Linked DNA regions of Anolis sagrei. The protein of the gene in region 1 purifies or fractionates together with the protein of each later gene. This does not show direct contact. Links are inferred from orthologs where the notes say so. Each region holds a gene or a part of one and is shown in the gene's direction. Other genes may lie near its edges. The genes, in order: PIDD1 and CRADD.

Region 1 (10,394 bases):
AGAATACTGGACTACAGCTTTGAAGCCTCAGGTTCGAACCTGGGTGATCTTGGACAAGTTACACTTTTCTCAGCTTCTGACAGGCAAAAGCAACCTCTATCTGAACACATACTACCAAGGAAACTTTACTGGGCAAGATCAGGCAAGCCCCCAATTTAGCAGCCTTTAAGAAAAATTTGAAAACTTGGCTCTTCCGATATGCCTTTGGAGAATGACTACTTATCCTATTTCTGTTTGTTCCATCCACAGTGTTGCCCCTCTGATGCACTTTCCCCCTTTCTAAACTGAAAGACTAATGCCACTCTTCATCCCTTTTGGGCTCCTCTCAATTACACTTTTTTGTATTCTTACCTCATCCAGGGTTTTATCATTTTACCTCGCCCATTTGGCCTGCCCATTTTGTTCGATTTATATGACATTTATTTGTTATATTTATTTTATGTATTTTATTCTGATGTGGCTTTGTTGTCTGAATTTTGTATTTTATTCAGTTACTAGCTGTCCTGTCACACATTGCTGTGGCCGTCTGTGTATATGTGTTTTTGTGTGTGTATATATATGTGTGTTTATAGGTGTACATGCATATTGTGTATATGTGTGTGCTTGTTTATATGCATATTTGTATTTATATGTATATATGTATGTGTGCATGTATATGTGCGTGCATGTGTATATGTATGTGTGCATGTATATATGTGGGTATGTGTGTATATATATATACACGTGTGTATATTTGTGTGTGTTTGTGCATATATACGCGTGTGTATGAATGTGTGCATATGTATATGAGTGTATGTGTATATGTATATATGGTGGATTTTTGGGGGTTTTAAGTCTGTTCCACTGGGGTTCTGTGTGTATGTGTGTTTATGGGTGATGGACACTTGTTGGACTGTTAGGTGTATTGTGCCCAAATTTTGTGTCAATTTGTCCAGTGGTTTTTTGAATTATGTTAATCCCACAAACAAACATTAAATTTTTATGTATATAGATATTGTATCTTCGGGCTTGGCCTCATGTTAGTCGCCCCGAGTCACCTTCGGGGAGATGGTGGCAGGGTATAAATAAAGATTATTATTATTATTATTATTTAAACTGCTTTTAAATTTTGTTAGATTTTAGCTATTCTTGTAAGCCGCTCCGAGCCCTAGGGGAGTGGCGGCATATAAGTTGAAATAATAAATAAATAAATAAATTATTATTATTATTATTATTATTTGTTTTGAATTAATATAGTTTAACACTGTTTTAAGTGCCAAAGCTCAAATGCTAGGGAATACTTCTCCACCAAAGAGTGTTGGCGACTCACTAAACCGAAGCTCCTAGGATTCCATGGCATTGAGCCTAAAAGCGAAGCCAAACTGCATCAATTCTACAGTGTAGATGCCCTCATGATTGCTGCAACCGAGAAAGCAGAACAGCAAAAGTAGAGGAAAGTACCATGGTATGCCTTTACTGCGTCGTAAAGCCCTACAAGGGGAAGAAAGGGCGTGAAAGCCACTCCAGAAAGCTGATCAGAGTAGGCCTCCCAAAGAGAAAAGGCACTCTCTCATTTCTCAGTATTTGCTTCCGCCTAAGTTTCTTATACTTTGCAGCCAAATGCTTCAAACTGTAAGAAAGTAGGTTCAGAGGCCTTCCCCACGCGGCATCGAGCTGCTCATGTTCCCTCTTCGTTCATGGAGGCCGCCACCATTTCCTCCTCCTCCTTCTTTTCCTAGGACTCAGGAAGCACATGGCCGCCATATCACCCCCCCCCTCCCCAGCCGCCGCACATGGTATCGTCCACTCCAGCCCCTACATTCGCGCAACGGGCTCAAGGAGACGGCATGCGACCCGAGCGCATCCAACTACAGGGGGGCGGGGGGGAACCCTCAAAAGCACCTACTTGGACGCGTTCTTGGGCAAACGCCGGGCCTCGGGACGTGCGCTCTCGACGACGGCAACGGCGAAAAGGAAGGGGAGGAGCCTACAGCGCGGGGTTCTTCCCGCCACCTCCCAGTAAACCGGTTGGGTATTGGTGGAAAAAGATCCAATCGCCAATGGGATGATTGGCAGCAGCCACGTCACTGCGCTATAAAAGTCATCTTCCGGGAAGCTTCCCTTCGACTTAGAGCAGGAAGGGGCAGATTTTGGCCTTCCTCCCAAAGCGGCTGAGGGTGAAAAGGAAAGGGCCTGAGGCTGTCAGGAATGGTGGGAGTTGAAGTCCAAAACACCTGGAGGAAAGGCCAAAATCTGCCCCTGCCTGCCTGACTTAGAGTCAGGGTGTAGAATGAATCTAGTTCAGGCATGGGCAAACCAGCCCTCCAGGTGTTTTGGATTTCAGCTCCCACAAGTCCTAAAAGCTGGTAGGCTGTTAGTATTGGAATGTCCATAATCTTTTGGAAATTACTGCAAAGGTAAAAATGGTGTCACCTCCGTTTGGCAAATGTGAATCTCTATTGAAAACCAACAGTCCAAAAAAAAAAGTATGGCCTTGTTAGAAGTCACCCCTTATTTATTTATTTATTTATTTATTTAGAGTTTTTATACCCCGGTCTTCTCACCTCTGGGGAGGGACTCAGGCTGGCTAACAACATAAAATTCAATACAATAAGAAAAACATTATAGGTCATCAATATAAAATACATTAAAATACACTTCATACAAATTACAGCAAAAATCAGTTCGTCCAAAAGAATCACAAATTCATCACCATCCGCCAGAAAGGTCAGTAGTTATTGACTCAGTCATCAATCTGTGAATGCAGTATCCCAAAGCCATGTTTTTACCTGCTTTCTAAACTTCAGGAGGCAAGAGGCAGATCTAATCTCCATCGGGAGGGAGTTCCAAAGCCGAGGGGCCACCACCGAAAAGGCCCTGTCCCTCGTCCCCACCAAACGCGATTGCGAAGGTGGTGGGACTGAGAACAGGGCCCCTCCAGAAGATCTTAACAACCTTGATGGTTCATAGGGGAGAATCCGTTTGGACAGGTAAATAGGTTCAGAGCCGTTTAGGAGTTTATAGGTCAACACCAGCACTTTGAATTGTGCTCGGAAGCTGATTGGCAGCCAGTGGAGCTGGCGCAACAGAGGAGTAGTATGCTCCCTGTACCCCGCTCCCGTTAGTAATCTGGCTGCCGCTCTTGTACTAGTTGTAGCTTCCGGGCAGTCTTCAGAGGCAACCCCACGTAGAGAGCATTGCAGTAGTCTATACGGGATGTAACCAGAGCATGTACCACCGTGGCCAAGTCAGACTTCCCAAGATACGGGCACAGCTGGCGCACAAGTTTTAATTGTGCAAAAGCTCCCCTGGGGTTCCAGGCTCAGTGATGAGTCCAGGATCACTCCCAAGCTGCGAACCTGCGCCTTCAGGGGGAGTGTAACCCCGTCAAGCACAGGCTATAACCCTTAAGACAAGGTGATACTCATAAAACAATGTAACAGCACACAGGTAGCTCGGCTGTTAAACTGAGGAACATGTCTTTAAACAGCCAAGGATAAAAGACAAGCCACTTCAAAAAATATATCTGGATAAAAGAAGATGGTTGTTTGAAGTAGAATTTGCTGTTGCCCAAAAGATATACACTCCCTTAAAACATGCACTCAAGTGGAGAGGGGAGAGCAGGCATGCTCAGCACACGGCAGCATAGTGCGAGGGAGAGCACGCAAGGCTGGAGGGAGGCTCAGGCCAGCAGGTTCCTTCAAGGCGGGGGGAAAAGTAGTCTTTGAAAAACAAAATATCTTATTTAGTAACAAACTTGTATATATTCAGTGTACAAGCACATAGTCTTGTAAGTTCATGAGCACACACATCCACCTCCAAAGAGGTCTGAAACCAAACTTCTCTTATTGAAATCTATAAGCATATAGAACACAAAAAGGAGTCCTGAGTTTGCACATGCTCAGTACAATCACATCTATAACTCCTCCCACATCAAAGAGGTACAGCCAAACTGACAAATCAAAACACACATAGAATGCAGGCTAACAATTGTATATACATTAACAAACAGTCCGTGGGGGCTTGGAAGGTTGCTATTTCCAATACTTAGGGATTGTGGGAGTTGAAGTCCTAAACACCTGGAGGGATGAAGTTTACCCATGTCTAATCTAGTTTGTGAACATTTTGACAAAGTCTGTAGCCTTCTCTGCGAAGAGTACTCTTGAACAACATTTTTTTGTGAACTGGGAGTAGATTTTGGAACTTCGGCTCCTGACGGGAACGGCTTGATAAATGGCAGGTGTGTGATTTGGGATTATATCCCGAGTAGACATGCAGTTTTGTTTATTAATTTATGTTATTTGTACCCTGCCTTTCACCCCAATGGGGCCTCAAGGCGGCTAACAGTCACACAATCACAGCACAATTTAAGACATAGAAAATACAAAAATTTAAAAACAAATAGTACTGCATGGATTTAGGTTAACATTGCATTTAAAACTCACAATCCCACCCACAACCTCTCCAAAGCCTGCACCTTGTCCTTCCCCAAGTGTCGCCTGGCACATAAAGGTCTACATTCTGCCTTCAAAAGGCCAGCAGGGATGGGCATCCTGGTGTCTCTTGGAAGGGAGCTCCACGGCCTGGTAGTAGCCACTGAAAGGGCCCTCTCCTGCGTTCCCACCAACTGCCCTTGAGCATGTGGTGGGACCGAGAGAATGCCCTCCCCAGCAGATCATAGATGCCTCCCAGGTTCATACAAAGAGATGTAGTCTTTCAAAAAACCTGGACCTAAGCCATATACAGCTTTGTAGGTCAAAACCAGTACTGTGCCTGGAAATGTGTTGACAGCCAATGGATCTGTTGCAACAGAGGAGTTGTCTCCTCCCTGTAGCCAGCCCCAGTTAGCAGTCTGGCTGCAACTCTGGACCAACTGAAGTTTCTGAGCACTTTTCAAAGGCAGCCCCATGTAGAGCACATTACAGTAGTCCAACCAGGATGTAACCAAGGCATGAACCACTGTGGTCAGATCAGACATCACTAGGAACTAGTGCATTTGGCACAATAGCTTTAACTGTGCAAAAGCACCCCTCGTCACTGCTGATAGCTGAACCTCCAGGTTCAGAGCCAAATCCTGACCTGCTAATCTGTGTTTTCAGGGGGAGTGTAAACCCAACTAACACAGGCTGACTCCCTACTCCCAGATCTGTTTACTTACTAAGAGCACGCCTGTCTTGTCTGGATTAAGCTTCAATTTGCATTTTCTGCATTTTCCAGTGTTTTCAGGCTGAATCCCTATTCCCAGATCTGTCTTTCGATTGACCAGGAGTATCACTGTCTTGTCTGAGTTAAACTTCACTTTGTTTGCACTCATACATTCCATTAAAGCTGAATAGTGCCTTTGAAGAAGTATTTAGAACACAGATCTTGGTCATTCAAAAGTGAACCCTCTGTGCCCTTTGAAGTTTACTCCCTAATAAGGTCATAATGCAAATTGCTATTAAGTTTGCACCTTTTATGCATGCAATGGTCTATCAGTTAACCAACATTGGTGGGGATTGATAGAGTCAGATAATGTAGTATCTGGTGGCTTAAGAACTCTAGTTTTCTAAATACAGCAGAACTAAAGCTGATGTGGTCTACCCAATGCAGTTTTCTAAATCAGCACCTCAAATAACCACAGGAAAAGGCTTAAAAACCATGACACGGAGATTGTCTGTGTTATTGGTAAGTAATAATCACAACATCCAACATTAGGAATATTTTCCAGATGGTATTCGCTGTTTGACATGGGACTGTGCCGCTTTGGAGAGTGGTGGGTTCTCCTTTTTTGGAGGTTTTGAAGCAGAGGCTGAATGGCCATCTGTCGGGGGTGCTTAGATTGTGTGTTCCTGAATGGCAGAATGGGGGCCGGGTTGGGGAGATGGCCCTTGGGGTCTATGAAAAGGCAGCATTTTACATAGTGTTAGAAATGACTTGAAAGCACCGCACAGCGACAGAAAGGAGAGGCGGGAGCTCTGGCTGGGAAGGCGCGCCTCTCCCGGCCCCTCCCCGCTGCCCCAAACCGGCCGCTTCGCTTCCTTTTCGGAGTAACCCTCCGCCTCCCGTGGGGGAGCTGCAAGGAAGCGCGTGGAGTGACTGACCGGGGAAGCGGGAGGGAGCGGCCTCTTTAAGGGGAAAAGTTTGGAGTTCTTGCAGCGGGAAGGTGCCAAGGCGGCCGGGGGTGTGGGAGCGGGTCCTCGTTGGAAACCGTGACCTCTCTCAAACTCCCAGGAAGAAAGAGACGGGTGAGAATGTCCTCCTCCCGGCCGCGGTAAGGCTCCCCTCTCTCCACGCCTGGAAAGGAGCGTGCAGGCGCGCGCGTCCACAAGCGGGCACGGGCCAACTTCGGCCCTCCAGTAGGATGTTAGGAATGGTGGGAGTTGAAGTCCAAAGCACCCGGAGGGCCCAGGTTTGCCTATGCCTGGTTTAGCCTGAGTTTGGCATCTCTCATTCCTTCACACTACAACTTGAGTCCAACAGTTGGAAAGTACTGGGTTGCTGTAGGTTTTTTCGGGGTGTATGGCCACGTTCTAGAAGCATTCCCTCCTGACGTTTCGCCTGCATCTATGGCAGGCATCCTCAGAGGTTGTGAGGTCCTTAGAGCCGTCGCAAACTCTGTTCCTGCGAGAGAAAACCTTGCTAGCATGTCCCTGACGTCACGAGACTCCGCCTCTCGCCCCGCCCCTTTCTCTGCCCCTTTCTCCATGCGAGCGTGGTTTTTCCTTTGCTAGGGCAGCATTGCCCGCATTTTCTCTCAGTTGGCAGAATTCAACTGAGAGAAAATGCGGGCAATGCTGCCCTAGCAAAGGAAAAACCACGCTCGCAAAGAGAAAGGGGTGGAGAAAGGGGCGGGGAGAGAGGCGCAGGCTCATGACATCAAGGACTTGCTAGCAAGGGTTTCTCCAGCAGGAACCTAGTTTGCGACGGGCCTTAGAGGTTGTGACCGCACAACCCCTGAGGATGCCTGCCATAGATGCAGGCCATACAGTCCCCAAAACCTACAACAACCCAATGATTCCGGCCATGAAAGCCTTCAATAATAAGTTAGAAAGTAACCCATGGTTGGTCTGGTCCAACCCCTTGCAAGCACAGCAACCCAAAGACATCCAAACTGTGCTGAACACATTCTAAGACCCCTTCCATACATCTGAAACCCCACATTTTCTGCTTTGAACTGGGATATATGGCAGTGTGGACTCAGATGTCCCAGTTCAAAGCAGAAACTGGGGGATTTTCTGCCTTGATATTCTGGGTTACAAGGCTGTGTGGAAGGGTCCTCCCAAAGGGACCTCTTCTAACTTCTCTCCAGGTAATCTAACCCACTGTTGAACAACTGCTATTACTACTGTATTAGCAAATTCATCCACGGATTTAATCATCACCTTTTTTGTAATCGGAACCAAGCAGTGCAAGCAGCAGAAGACAAGCTTCCCTCACTGGGGTGTTGTATGGTTTCTGGGCTGTTTGGCCCTGTTCCAGCAGGACTTTCTCCTGACGTTTGACCTGCATCAGAGGCCTCTTCCATACAGCTGAAGGAAACCCCACATTATCTGCTTTGAACTGGAATATACAGCAGTGTGGATTCAGATAACCCAATGCAAAGCAGATATTGTGGGATTTTCTGCCTTGACATTCTGGGTTGCATGGCTGTGGGGAAGGGCCCTGTGGCTGGCATTAATGGGTGGAATGGGGATTTGGTGCTTGAAACAGCCCAGCCCATCCCCACCCCCAAATACATAGAGCCATATAAGTCAGAATATCAAGGCAGAAAATCCCACAATATCTGCTTTGAACTGGATTATCTGAGTCTACACTGCCATATATTCCAGTTCAGATAATGTGGGATTTTATTCAGATGTGTGGAAAGGGCCTAAGAAAATTGTATTGGAGCAGCTCTACTTCCTTAGGTGTGGTATTCACATCATCACAGTAGAGAATGAATCCACTTTAAATCCAGTTTCTGCCTCCCGCAGAATTCTAGTGTTTGTGCTTTAGGAGGATTTAACAGCCTCACTACAAACCCCAAATTCTGCAGGAGGCAGGAACAGGATTTAAAGTGCATCCATGTGTGATGAGGCAGGTTTTCTGTGGGTGAGCAAATGAAGACTGGTATATGGCATATGTTCTGTATCTCAAAAACTACAGCTGATAGGGGAAAATTGGTATCATTTTTGGAATCAGCAGGGCAGATATACCCAGAAATAGGGCTAATGTTTGAGGCATCAAAATATGTGTTGGCTCGTGTAACTAATCCACCCAGAATGCATTTAATCTTTAGATTTCTTGTTCCCACTTTGACCCTTTGCCATATTATCCGTACTAAATAGGAGCCCCCGGTGGCACAGTGGGTTAAACCACTGAGCTGCTGAACTTGCTGACTGAAAGGTTGGCAGTTCAAATCTGGGGAACAGGGTGAGCTCCTGCTGTCAGCCCCAGCTTCTGGCAATCTAGCAGTTGGAAAATATGCAAATGTGAGTAGATCAATAGCTACCACTTCTGTGGGAAGGTAACAGTGCTCCATGCAGTCATGCCAGCCACATGACCTTGAAGGTGTCTACGGACAACGCCAGCTCTTTGATTTGGAAATGGAAATGAGCACCGCCCCCCAGAGTTGGACACGACTGGACTTAATGTCAAGGGGAAACCTTTATCTTAAATACATTTCCAGCTAAAGGATGTCTTACTGGATTCTGGCAATATTTATATCTGATACCTTAACTGCTTCAAGTAAAATTTCTGTTCCTTTTTTGGTCCTGATCATTTCTTCAAATCTGTGTGCTTTTAAAATGTTTTTCTTCTTCCTCACTTTCTTTCCAGAGGCAGCTTCTCTCCGACATTTCCGCTCCTAATTATTTGTGGTACCACCAGCTCTTGTTTGATTGGCAAGTCGGAACATGAACAGCCGAGGGCAATGTAACACCAGAAGATGGCAGGGCGGAAGGAGCTTGGGGACCCCCTGGGGGAGGGGGCTTGGGGCGCTGAGAGGCCTGCCAGCTCTTGCTTGGCTGGCAACCGGCTCAACTTGGACGTCTATGCAGAGGGCTGCCTTTTCTTCCTTCGGCTGTTTGAGACGCGAAGGGAAGAAGTGGAGCAGGTGGAATTCCTGAGACTGAGCTGCAACGAGGACTGTATTGCTTCCACCCTTAGCATCATTCCTGCCCTGAAGGGCCTGAAATCTCTTGTACTCAAAGGTAACTGCATGGCAATAATTTTTGGTCCAAATAGACTTTGCTCTGTTCAGTGGGACTTGCTTCCAGGAAAGGATTAGAAAATTGTAGCCCCAGGTTTCAAACATATGCATGTTCACAGAGGAACTGAACTCATGGGGTTTCCTTTTGAGTAAATATGCAATGGAGAAATCTGCAGGAATGAGGTCTTTGGCATTCTTTTCTTGGCAGAATCGCCTGTTTACTCAGATGTAAACTTATGGTTTTCAACAGCACTTGCTGTTGTTTAGGCTTGCAGGTTCCATTATTTTTCACTGAAAGGGCTTTGTTTTTACCCTGAATCCCCTTTGGAATAAAGTTTTGATTGAACTGCAGTTGATGGGAGGTTGCTCCCTGATGTCTTGGCTGTATAGCGGCATGCACCACTTCAGGGTGTGACATCCTTGGAGACCCATGCAGGTGGGTCACTATCTGTGGACATGCGCAAGATGCCAGGTAGGCACAGCCTTTCCATCATCAGCACATAATGATAATATTTAATGAATGACTTGTTTATTGTACTACCCATAGGCCATAACATCAAATAATATACATCTTTTAAAAATACAGTATACACGTTCCAATATAAATATTAAAACTTATTCTCTGAACAAGCTCTTTCAAATTACAGTAGCAGTGACAATCCCTATAGGCAGGGTAACAATAACAAAATCTGATTTGCATTGTCCCAAACGATTTCCATTTTCATTTTTAGCCTCCGCTGTGGACTTAACAAATTTAGCTTGGATTTTCTGGGCTGCAACTTCAAATGTGAGGACGTTTATCGTTATATTTTTTTGAATAATCCGCTAACAGGTCACAGATAACTGCTGACTAATTATAATATTAGGATGGAATTAATACTGTAACTTAAAATTGTGTGTGTAGCAATTCATGGGTATATTTTTGCCTTCATGTGTATTCTTAGGTGTTGGTAGGGGAACTTATTTTCCCTTACTTATGTTTCAATATTCCTTTGAGTTTCTTAGAGGCTAGCTTGTCCCTCTGTTCAAAATAAAATAAATTTAGGATTGCGATGCCATTTTTAAAATAGGTATTTTATTAAGTATGCCTGATGCTTTTGTAAAATGTCCAGTGGTGTACACACACCCAACCCAATACATTATTAAAAAGTATGAATGTGTATGCTGATAAACCTTTTTGCATTGAATATGATTTTTAAAAAAATTATATCTGTTTTGGTTCTCTTCAGCCTCTCAGACAAGC
Region 2 (10,211 bases), on another chromosome or scaffold:
AGCAATACATGCATTTAAAATAAATCACATCGACAATAACGTAAGCATTGACAATAGTACAAGACACTTTACAATCTATGGCTGGGCCAAATGTAATTAATTTAAAATGATGCTGGTCATGGACGAGATAAGGAAGTGGGGTGTGGTGTCATATCTCTTGAACCTTCATAGTAAAATTATGAAGATAGCTGTGATCAGCCTTTGAAGTCTGGCATTATTGGGATTAATTAATCTAGATTTTGTTGGTAACTGTTGGCAAGAAGTACTTTGGCTCTTGTTTTGACTTCAGACCCTGTGTAATAACCTTAAATATGCAATGTTGAACAAAATACAAGTGATCATTGAAAAACGGATTCCCTCGCTTTCAAAATTTATATGATGCTAAGGATTATCCAGTGGATAACCACTTTTGCCACCATTTAGGCAAAGACAACACTGAGTAAGTGTTGAATGAAATACGGCAATAAAGTTAATATAAAACCCCTACAAGAGACATACAATTTGTAAAATATTGATCGCTATTTCCGTATGTATACATTTCACTAAAATGAGTTACAACCCTAATTTTATGCCCTAGCTTCATAGCAACATGTCTAAAACTTTGTCAAATAATTGACAAGAGTTTTTAGACACATTGTTGTGAAGCTGGGGCATAACTAGTTGCAAGTCACTTAATGACCTAGTTCAGATAATACAAATAAGAACCACTGGCATATATGCTCAACTGCTCCCAGTAGCAATAGGAGTCACTAAATGTTATTAGCATGCATCCTTGGCTTTGTGTCTTTCCCATGCAATGGCTAGAGCAATTGAGCAATATACACCAAAGCACTGCTCTTAACTAACCAACAACTAGGGTTCCCCATGCATCTCTGGCATATCATCAACCCTACCCATAATAAATCAGCGGTTGTATCAGGATTTGACACCAAGCCAAATTCCAGTGTTCCATGTGCTTTTGAAACTCCCATATTATTGGTAGGCCGTTCTGTTTCATAACCACAATGGTGTAATTAAGAACTACTTATGGGTAGGTCACCATGCTCTTTGTGGGTGGTTTGTGTTTTGAAGAAGCACACCAAAGTTACTTATGCTGACATACATTGGGTCAAGAATATCTACCATTCTGTCCATATCCTCCTGTTTCTAGTGCATTTTTAACATTTAAAAGATCTAAATACTTTGAGAATGTCACTATTTTAGGCAAATCTAGTATAGACTTGTTAGGAAAAGCAATGTTTCCACTAGATATTCCTCTCCTGAGTTTTCCTCTTCCTTCTCAGAACGAGCACAGGCAAAGAGCAAAGGCATAATGTATCTGCTGTATTTTTTCTCTCCCCCACTCAATATGTGACTTGAGTGAGAATTTGGTAATTTCAGTTGATTCAACAACCTCAAAGGATCTCGTCAGCAGTTCTTCTTTCTTGGAACCATAAAAAAGATTTTTTGCCAGTAGACTTGATTTTACATTTATCTGTGATTATCCCTGCACAACCGCAATGGAGTGCTTAGCATATTTGCTCTAAATTTCATTATAGCATGCAACATGGACTTTTCACGAACAGGAGGCTAACCAGCATTCAAGTCACATCCTTGTGTAAAAAGGATGAGATGGCTTGGCCCAAAAGAGCATTGAAGACAATGAGATAATACAAGGTTAACATTTCTTCAGCCCACCATAAAGGTTATTGAAGATCCTAAGAAAGGCCCTAAAATAGTCAACACGAACATGGAAGCATTGCAAGTTTCAGTAAAGCTGAGGGTAATTTTGGAATGATGCGGAAACCTATGTATTTGTTCCCAGTTCTGTTGTTTGAAAAGCTGTGAGATCCAAATATTCTTGATTTCAGCTCCTCAAAGCGAATAGGGATTCTGGAACTTGGAATCCAAATCCACAGAGGATCAAAGGTTGACAACCACTGCCATCAATAATGCATATAAATGATATATAATAAAACAATGCATAAGATATCATTTAGATGTCTTATATATTATTTGGACAGTAAAAAGTGGAGCTTCTAGCTAGGAAGACTGGATAATATATTCCAGTAACATACCTATCAGCATGGTTTTGTACTATGCTTTTTCGAAGGGAGCAAAACATAGTCCAGCTGGAAGCAAATCTTACATACTCAAGATATGTGATTTACATATACTGCAATGGCAGCAAAGTTGTACAGCTTTAATCCTAATTTTGCCACAATCTTCAGATATACACTCGTCTGAGTTTATGCAATAAGCATGTTCGGCTAGATAGCAAGTAGTAACTGATGTGACTCGCACATGTGACATTGGACACATTTTTGACATTTGATATATTGTCTTGGAAGCCAACGCTGCCATGAGTTATGAAAGGAAACAGCATGCAGTCAAACTGGGTGTGAGTCATAATTTTGTCATTTATTAAGTAACATATTTTTAAATAGGAGTATAAAGTTAATCCTCTTGGCTTAAATCAGCCTTCCCAAACCAAGTACCATCTCCATTGGGGATTCTGGGAATTGTGGTGCAACATATTTTAATCCAATCCAATCCAATAGATCTTTATTGGCATATATATAGCAAAACAGTAAAAAAACAAAACAGTATAAATTGTAAAAAAAGGAACTTCCTATTTGTTTGAAAAACAAAGGCAATAGCATAACTACTCTATGGAGCTCCCATTTGGTTAACCCCTAATAATAGTGCCATCAGATCTTTCCACTCGAAATTCCTCCACAAATTATTTGGCATGCCAAACTACATCCCATATGCAGTTCTATGTCTAGAATCTGGCCAATACTCTATAGAAGTCACTATATTTTTAAAACACCAGGTTTGGAAAAGCAGGGTTATGCCTTACACCTTCTTTCCATGTGTTCAGATGACTCTCCAAAACCTTCCTTTTCAATGCTACCACTAATCAGCTTTGTATTTCAGCACAGCTTCTCAGAATGTATATTGTCTGTGTTGTTCATGCCACTAATTTTTCCTTGTATGTCATTTTTATTTTATTATTTACTCTGCATAAATAATAAAATACAGATGAGGGAGAATTGCGAAGAACTTTTTGTAACCCATTATGCCAAACATTTGCATTATCATTAACTGGCACATAGTTCTTTAGTTCACTTCTAAATGTGTAGTACTTAAACTGAAAACAAATTTTCCTTTTATCCCCATTATTTTCAATTGCCACTCAAGGTACTTCTATTTTTTCAGTGTGCATCAAGTTTTCTTTGTAATTAGTGTTTTAAGTGACTCATCACTGGTTAGATTAATTAAAGACCTTTTGATCAACCAAAAACAGACCCTTGCAACAAAACAACTGAACATATCCCATTAATTTCTAAAAATACAAATACTTATAACATTACAGGATAGGAATCATTTTGAAAATCAACTGGACATGAAAGAAGACTCAATGCTTCCTGAAAGCTCAAGGGAAAAACAAAACAATTAAATTATTTGAGGAGACATTTATAATTTGAGACAACTTTTTCAAATGGAATGAAGTCCACAAATAAAGTTATTGTACTGAAACTATTTTTATCACAAGTACCTGCTGTTCAAATAATTTTAAAAATACCCACTTTATGGTTGCTTTCAACATGAATGCATATTTTCAGTCCTGTAAATTCTTTTGCCCATACATACAATGTTACAAGAATGCAATCTAAAAACACTACCTTGAATTTACATATATTCAATTAAAAGCATTGCTTAGTGTTGTCACTTACAAAAACTAGTACTCCTCCCATAACCAGTTAAAAACATAAAACTGTTTTGCCGGGTTGAGATGACTAGAACAGCAAAGAAGATATTACTATCAGGTTAGTTTTAAAGCACAACCCAATAGCATTTACTTAGAAGTTTGTGTATGTTTAATGAAAAAGCTTATGAGTTTTAACATTTACATAATATTTTCCATATTTTAATGGGTCTAATAAAGGCATTGCTACAGTGTGTTTTGGGAAATAAATCCCAGATTGATAAACTGCACACTCTCTCAGCCTTTGAGGCAGATGTGGAACCCCTTCTGTACAAATCTTCCCAGAAAAACCCTGTGAATGGTTTGCCTACAACAAAAAGAGAGTATACTGTTTTTGGAGGGGGGAGCAAAATACATATATTATAATTATAAAGTAATTTTTCATTGAATTTCATTTTTGAAGGACAGAGCTCTAAAGTTAGACTTTAAGATTCTGCATAAATAATAAAATACAGATGAGGGAGAGTTGCAAAGAACACAGTGAGTTGCTGTGAGTTTTTTTGGGCTATTAAGGGTGCATTAAAAAAGGGGGGGGGGGGATCCCAGAATTATAAACTGTTAATAGAATATGAAATTTTTCAGAATAAAATCCCCAAAAGAAAGCCCTTAGAATTATGAACTGTTTGGGATATTTATACCCTGCTTTTCCCTACCCTAAGGGGAACTCAAGACAGCTTACATATGTCAATTGTTTAATGCCTTATATAGACACCAGAAGTGACTTGCAGTTTCTCAAGTCGCTCCTGACATGACAAAAAAAAAAAGACACAAAACAAATCTAGAATTATAACCTGTTAGGCGATTCTCTGAGGTCAGGGGCACAGACTCCAATAAATAAATAAAAAAAACCCACAATTTTAAAAATTTACCCTGAGAATATATCTCGAGAAATGTCTCAATCTTGCAGTTTGATTATACGTATGGCCAACTTCCACTGGAAACTAACCATAGAATTGCATTGGAGGACATACACAGCCCGAGAGGCATTCTTTCTAGAAATCCCTTCCAGAATGACAGAACGAAGTTGACTATTGTGTTACATGGGAAGACCTACAAATTTCTAGAGACAATATTTTAATCAAATCCGGAAAAGTCAAAACTCCAGAAGTCTGAGATGACTCTAAATCAGGCATGGGGCAAACTTGGGCCCTCCAGGTGTTTTGGACTTCAACTCCCACAATTCCTAACAGTCTCGGGCCCCTTCCTTTCCCCCCTCAGCCGCTTAAACGAAAAGGAAAAGGAAGGGGAAAAGGAAAGGGCCTGAAGCTGTTAGGAAAAAGGAAGGGAAAAGAAAAGGGCCTGAAGCTGCTAGGAATTGTGGAAGTTGAAGTCTAAAACACCTGGAGGCCCCAAGTTTGCCCATGCCTACACTATATACATGTGTGTGGGGGGGGGGGGGGGATTCAGAGTTAAGAACAGTTAAAGGTTTGTACATCTTTTGGGAGGAAATGAATTCTCCATTACAAACTTTTACAGGATATACACTCACATAGATATACAATCAAAAGTTTTCATATATAGGAAACAAATACAAAATGAATACGTATTACATTGTATTCATTTTGACTTCCTGTGTGTATAAACAAGGGATCAATATGTAGAGAATATTTTGTACAATTGTGTAATTAATCGTTTGTGAATAAAGGTAAATTCAGCTACAATTTCCCATTTTCCCTACATATGGCGACTTTTGGAACGCAATGAATCTATATTTATTTACATATATATTTGTGGGGGAGGGGTCACCCCATATATCTTCTCAAGGTCTGATCCCAAGCCTCTCCCAGTGAAACTCCCCTCACCTCGAAACAGGAAACAGAAGTAGCTCTAAAAGGCTTTGTAAACCTTTCTTTTCCACTTGGCTCACAGCTCTGCGAAGTCCCGAGTTTATGCCTACTTTTGTTCCGCGAAAGCGGTCACGTTTCCTCCGCGGCGTCAAAACGATCCCTGGAACTTCCGGTCCGGGCAAGAAGCTATGTCTGTCAGGTTACAGTTTGCCCTGTGTCCGTCCTTTAGCTTCTGCCCTGAAGAAAGATGGCGGCCGCCCACTTCCTGTTCGGCGATTCTTCCTACAGGGAACATGGTAACCTTTGCCGTTCCCACCAGGGTTTTTTGACTTATGATTCCCGCGCTTAGAGTTGTAAGTACTTTCACATAAAAGGTTTGACTCCGGATTGGGCAGTTTCTTCTTTCCCCCTTTTTAAAGCTTCCTTTGGAGGTTTTCTCTGCATTTCTTTCCCATTTTTAAAGCCTATACAAGCTTCCTGACGTTTCCTACGCGTTGTTTATTTATTTTCAAAACAACGTTGAAGGGATCTACTTACATAACCTGAACTCCCATGAAAGGTTTTCATTTGGCATAGGTTTAATATACTGGACTTTATTTTAATTTAATATTTTGTGGTTTTATTGCCAGGCTCTTGCTACTGTACATGTATTGTCTTTGCAAAGATGTAACACACAGGACGCCAAAGCCTCAAGTGTTTAAATAACAGAATAAAAATGCTTGACTGTGTGGACGTTTCAAAAAGAAAAAAAGTAGTTTAAAACACGGCAAATAGGCAATGGCCATAAAATTGAGTCATTGAGCAGAGAGTAAACGTTAGGGTTTTCCGCACTACGTATATGTATCTCCATAATTGTGTAAGCCAGGGGTCCTCAAATTTTTTAAACAGAGGGCCAGGTCACAGTCCCTCAAACTGTCGGAGGGCCGGATTATAATTTGAAAAAAAATGAATGAATTCCTATGCACACTGCACATATCTTATTTGTAGTGCAAAAGCCACTTAAAAACAATACAATCATTTAAATCAAGAACAATTTTAAGAACTATAAATTTTTTAGTATTTCAGTGGGAAGTGTGGGCCTGCATTTGGCAGATGAGATAGGATTGTTGTTATTGTTGTGTGCTTTTGAGTCGTTACAGACTTAGGTTGACCCTGAGTGAGGGCCGGGTAAATGACCTTGGAGGGCCGCAGCCGGCCCCCGGGCCTTAGTTTGAGGACCCCTGGTGTAAGCTATCATACTGCAACCATAGGACATTCTAGTTGATTATCATAAAGAAACAAACATTAAAGGCTATTTGTAACAAAAAATACAATTTAATAAGAACAATCCAATGGGTTGTTGTTGTTCATTCGTTCAGTCGTTTCCGACTCTTTGTGACCTCCTGGACCAGCCCACACCAGAGCTCCCTGTCAGCTGTCACCACCCCCAGCTCTTTCAGAGTCAAGCCAGTCACTTCAAGGATACCATCCATCCATCTTGCCCTTGGTCGGCCCCTCTTCCTTTTTCCTTCCATTTTCCCCAGCATAATTGTCTTCTCTAGGCTTTGCTGTCTCATGATGTGGCCAAAGTACTTCAACTTTGTCTCTAGTATCCTTCCCTCCAATGAGCAGCCGGGCTTTACTTCCTGGAGTATGGACTGGTTGGATCTTCTCACTGTCCAAGGCACTCTCAGAACTTTCCTCCAGCACCACAGTTCAAAAGCATCTATCTTCCTTCGCTCAGCCTTCCTTATGGTCCAGCTCTCACATCCGTAGGTTACTATGGGGAATACCATTGCTTTGACTAGGCGGATCTTTGTTGCCAGTGTGATGTCTCTACTCTTCAATATTTTATCGAAATTGGTCGTTGCTCTCCTCCCAAGCGTCTCCTGATTTCCTGGCTGCAGTCTGCGTCTGCAGTAATCTTTGCACCTAGAAATACAAAGTCTGTAACTGCCTCCACGTTTTCTCCCTCTATTTCCCAGTTATCAATCATTCTTGTTGCCATAATCTTGGTTGTTTTGATGTTTAACTACAACCTAGCTTTTGCACTTTCTTCTCTCACCTTGGTTAGAAGGCTCCTCAGCTCCTCCTCACTTTTGAAAAATGTATTTGTAACATATTAGATGTTACCACTTCTTAGACTATGTAATGATGCATGCTAGAGACTGCTGCAACGGGCTTCTCACAAGAGTCATGACAAGGGCTGCTGGCTGCTGCACAGATCACAGGTTAATTCAATCCATGTTGGCCATCAAGATGGCCCCCAAACGCAGACTCCATGGAAGAAAGATAAGACATAAAATGAACACCCAAGCAGTGTTGAACACTGCTTGAACACCTAGCACAAAGTAGCTGCACGTAATATTTATTTATTTATTTATTTTATCGTGTCATCAGCAACCATTGTATTACAATTCTAACAGAGCAAAACAAACACACAGATTAAAAAGAAAAAGGGAAAAAAACACACACAGATTTTGCAAATTTGGTATTTGGTTAAATGTCCTTTGACCAGTATCTGGCCACTTAGAGTGCCTCTGGTGTTGCCGCAAGAAGGTCTTCCATTGTGCATGTGGCAGGGCTCAGGGTGCATTGCAGCAGGTGGTCAGTGGTTTGCTCTTCTCCGCACTCGCATGCCGAGGATTCCACCCTGTAGCCCCATTTCTTAAGATTGACTGTGCATCTCGTGGTGCCAGAGCGCAGTCTGTTCAGCGCCTTCCAAGTCGCCCAGTCTTCTGAGTGCCCAGGGGGGGAGTCTCTCATCTGGTATCACCCATGAATTGAGGTGCTGGGTTTGGGCCTGCCACTTTTGGACTCTCGCTTGCTGGGGTGTTCCAGCGAGTGTCTCTGTAGATCTAAGAAAACTATGTCTTGATTTAAGTCGTTGACGTGCTGGCTGATACCCAAACGGGATGGGCTGGAGATGTCTCTGCCTTGATCCTTTCACTATTGGCTGCTACTTCCTGGCGGATGTCAGGTGGTGCAATACCGGCTAAGCAGTGTACTTTCTCCAGTGGTGTGGGGCGCAGACACCCTGTGATAATGCGGCATGTTTCATTAAGAGCCACATCTACTGTTTTAGTGTGGTGAGATGTGTTCCACACTGGGCATGCATACTCAGCAGCAGAGTAGCATAGCGCAAGGGCAGATGTCTTCACTGTGCCTGGTTGTGATCCCCAGGTTGTGCCAGTCAGCTTTCATATGATGTTGTTTCTAGCACCCACTTTTTGTTTGATGTTCAGGCAGTGCTTCTTGTAGGTCAGAGCACGGTCCAAAGTGACTCCCAAGTATTTGGGTGTGTTGCAATGCTCCAGTGGGATTCCTTCCCAGGTAATCCTCACAGCTCGGGATGCTTGTCTGTTCTTAAGGTGAAAGGCGCATGTCTGTGTTTTAGATGGATTAGGGATCAGCTGGTTTTCCCTGTAATAGGCAGTAAGAGCACCTAGAGCTTCGGAGAGCTTCTGTTCAACCATCTCAAAGCTCCCTGCTTGAGCAGTAATGGCACGATCATCAGCATAGATGAAACTCTCTGTCCCTTCTGGCAGTGGCTGGTCATTTGTGTGGATGTAGAACATGGATGGAGCAAGCACGCTCCCCTGAGGCAGGCCGTTCTTCTGTTTTCGCCATCTGCTTCTCTGGCACTGGAACTCAACAAAAAAGCTCCTGTTTTGTAGCAGGTTTCTTATGAGGCGGGTGAGGTGGTAGTCCTTTGTGATATTATACATTTTTCTCAGGAGGAGGCGGTGGTTCACAGTATCATAGGCTGCTGACAAGTCTATGAAGACAGCTCCTGTGATCTGCTGCCTTTCAAAACCATCTTCTATGTGCTGAGTCAGGTTCAGCACTTGCGATGTGCAGCTTTTGCTTTTTCTGAAGCCAGCTTGCTGTGGGATCAGACAGGGGTCTATATTTTCCATAATTCTATGCAAAATAAGTCTCTCCAGAACTTTGTAGAGGTGGCACAACAGGGAGATTGGTCTGTAGCTTTTTGGGTCATTACAGGCTTTGCCTGGCTTCAAGATGGCGATGACTCTTGCTTTCCTCCAGATTTTGGGGATCTGACAGGATGCAGTGCAGTTGTTCATCAGCTCCAGCAGCCAGCGCCTTGCTTTTGGACCAAAGTTCTTGATTTGTTCCATCCGTAGATCATCCAAGCCAGCTGCTTTGCCATTCATACATTTGTTGAGAGCCATGTCCAATTCAGTAGATGTAAAGGGTTCATGAAGGTTGTTGTTCTCAATCTCTTGTTGTCTGGCTATTGGTTTCTTTCCTACTTTGGTGGCAAGGTTGGGTTTCCCATTCTTCAAGAGTTGGTGTGCTATCTGATCTGCCTTTATGTTGGCATGGGTATTAGTTTGTGAGGGGTCACTGCTCAGCCGTCTTAGCAACCTCCACACCTTCTGGCTGCTCCTGCCCATGTCGACCTCTGTGATCAGCTTGATCCACTGTTCTTTCTTGGCTTCAGAGATGGAGGACACAATGTTCTGCGCTGCCTGAAGAGTCTGCTCACTAAATGGGTCTTCGTTGTGGAGCCTGTAATAGTTTTCCAACAAGGCAGCTGTTTCAGGAGTAATGCCCTGAAGGTAGTGGGTTCTGCAGCCTCTCGGTATGGAGGCCCGTGAGCAGGTTTTCACTATTTCAATAAAATGCTCGTATTCCTCAGGGATTGGCACAACCGATGTGATCATGTC

What was found.
Region 2: the proteins of PIDD1 (region 1) and CRADD purify together in Homo sapiens (affinity purification with western blotting; 8 studies listed by BioGRID and IntAct, with this or other methods). This does not show direct contact. The link is inferred for Anolis sagrei from reciprocal best matches to the Homo sapiens genes PIDD1 and CRADD.

The regions. Positions count from the first base shown.
Region 1 is NC_090021.1:241,100,722-241,111,115, reverse strand, and holds the start of PIDD1 (p53-induced death domain-containing protein 1), read left to right. Parts: upstream 1-6,000; 5' UTR 6,001-6,232; intron 6,233-8,778; 5' UTR 8,779-8,887; coding exon 8,888-9,152; intron 9,153-10,394. UniProt on the Homo sapiens protein: Component of the DNA damage/stress response pathway that functions downstream of p53/TP53 and can either promote cell survival or apoptosis.
Region 2 is NC_090025.1:154,663,767-154,673,977, forward strand, and holds the start of CRADD (death domain-containing protein CRADD), read left to right. Parts: upstream 1-5,620; 5' UTR 5,621-5,891; intron 5,892-10,211. UniProt on the Homo sapiens protein: Adapter protein that associates with PIDD1 and the caspase CASP2 to form the PIDDosome, a complex that activates CASP2 and triggers apoptosis.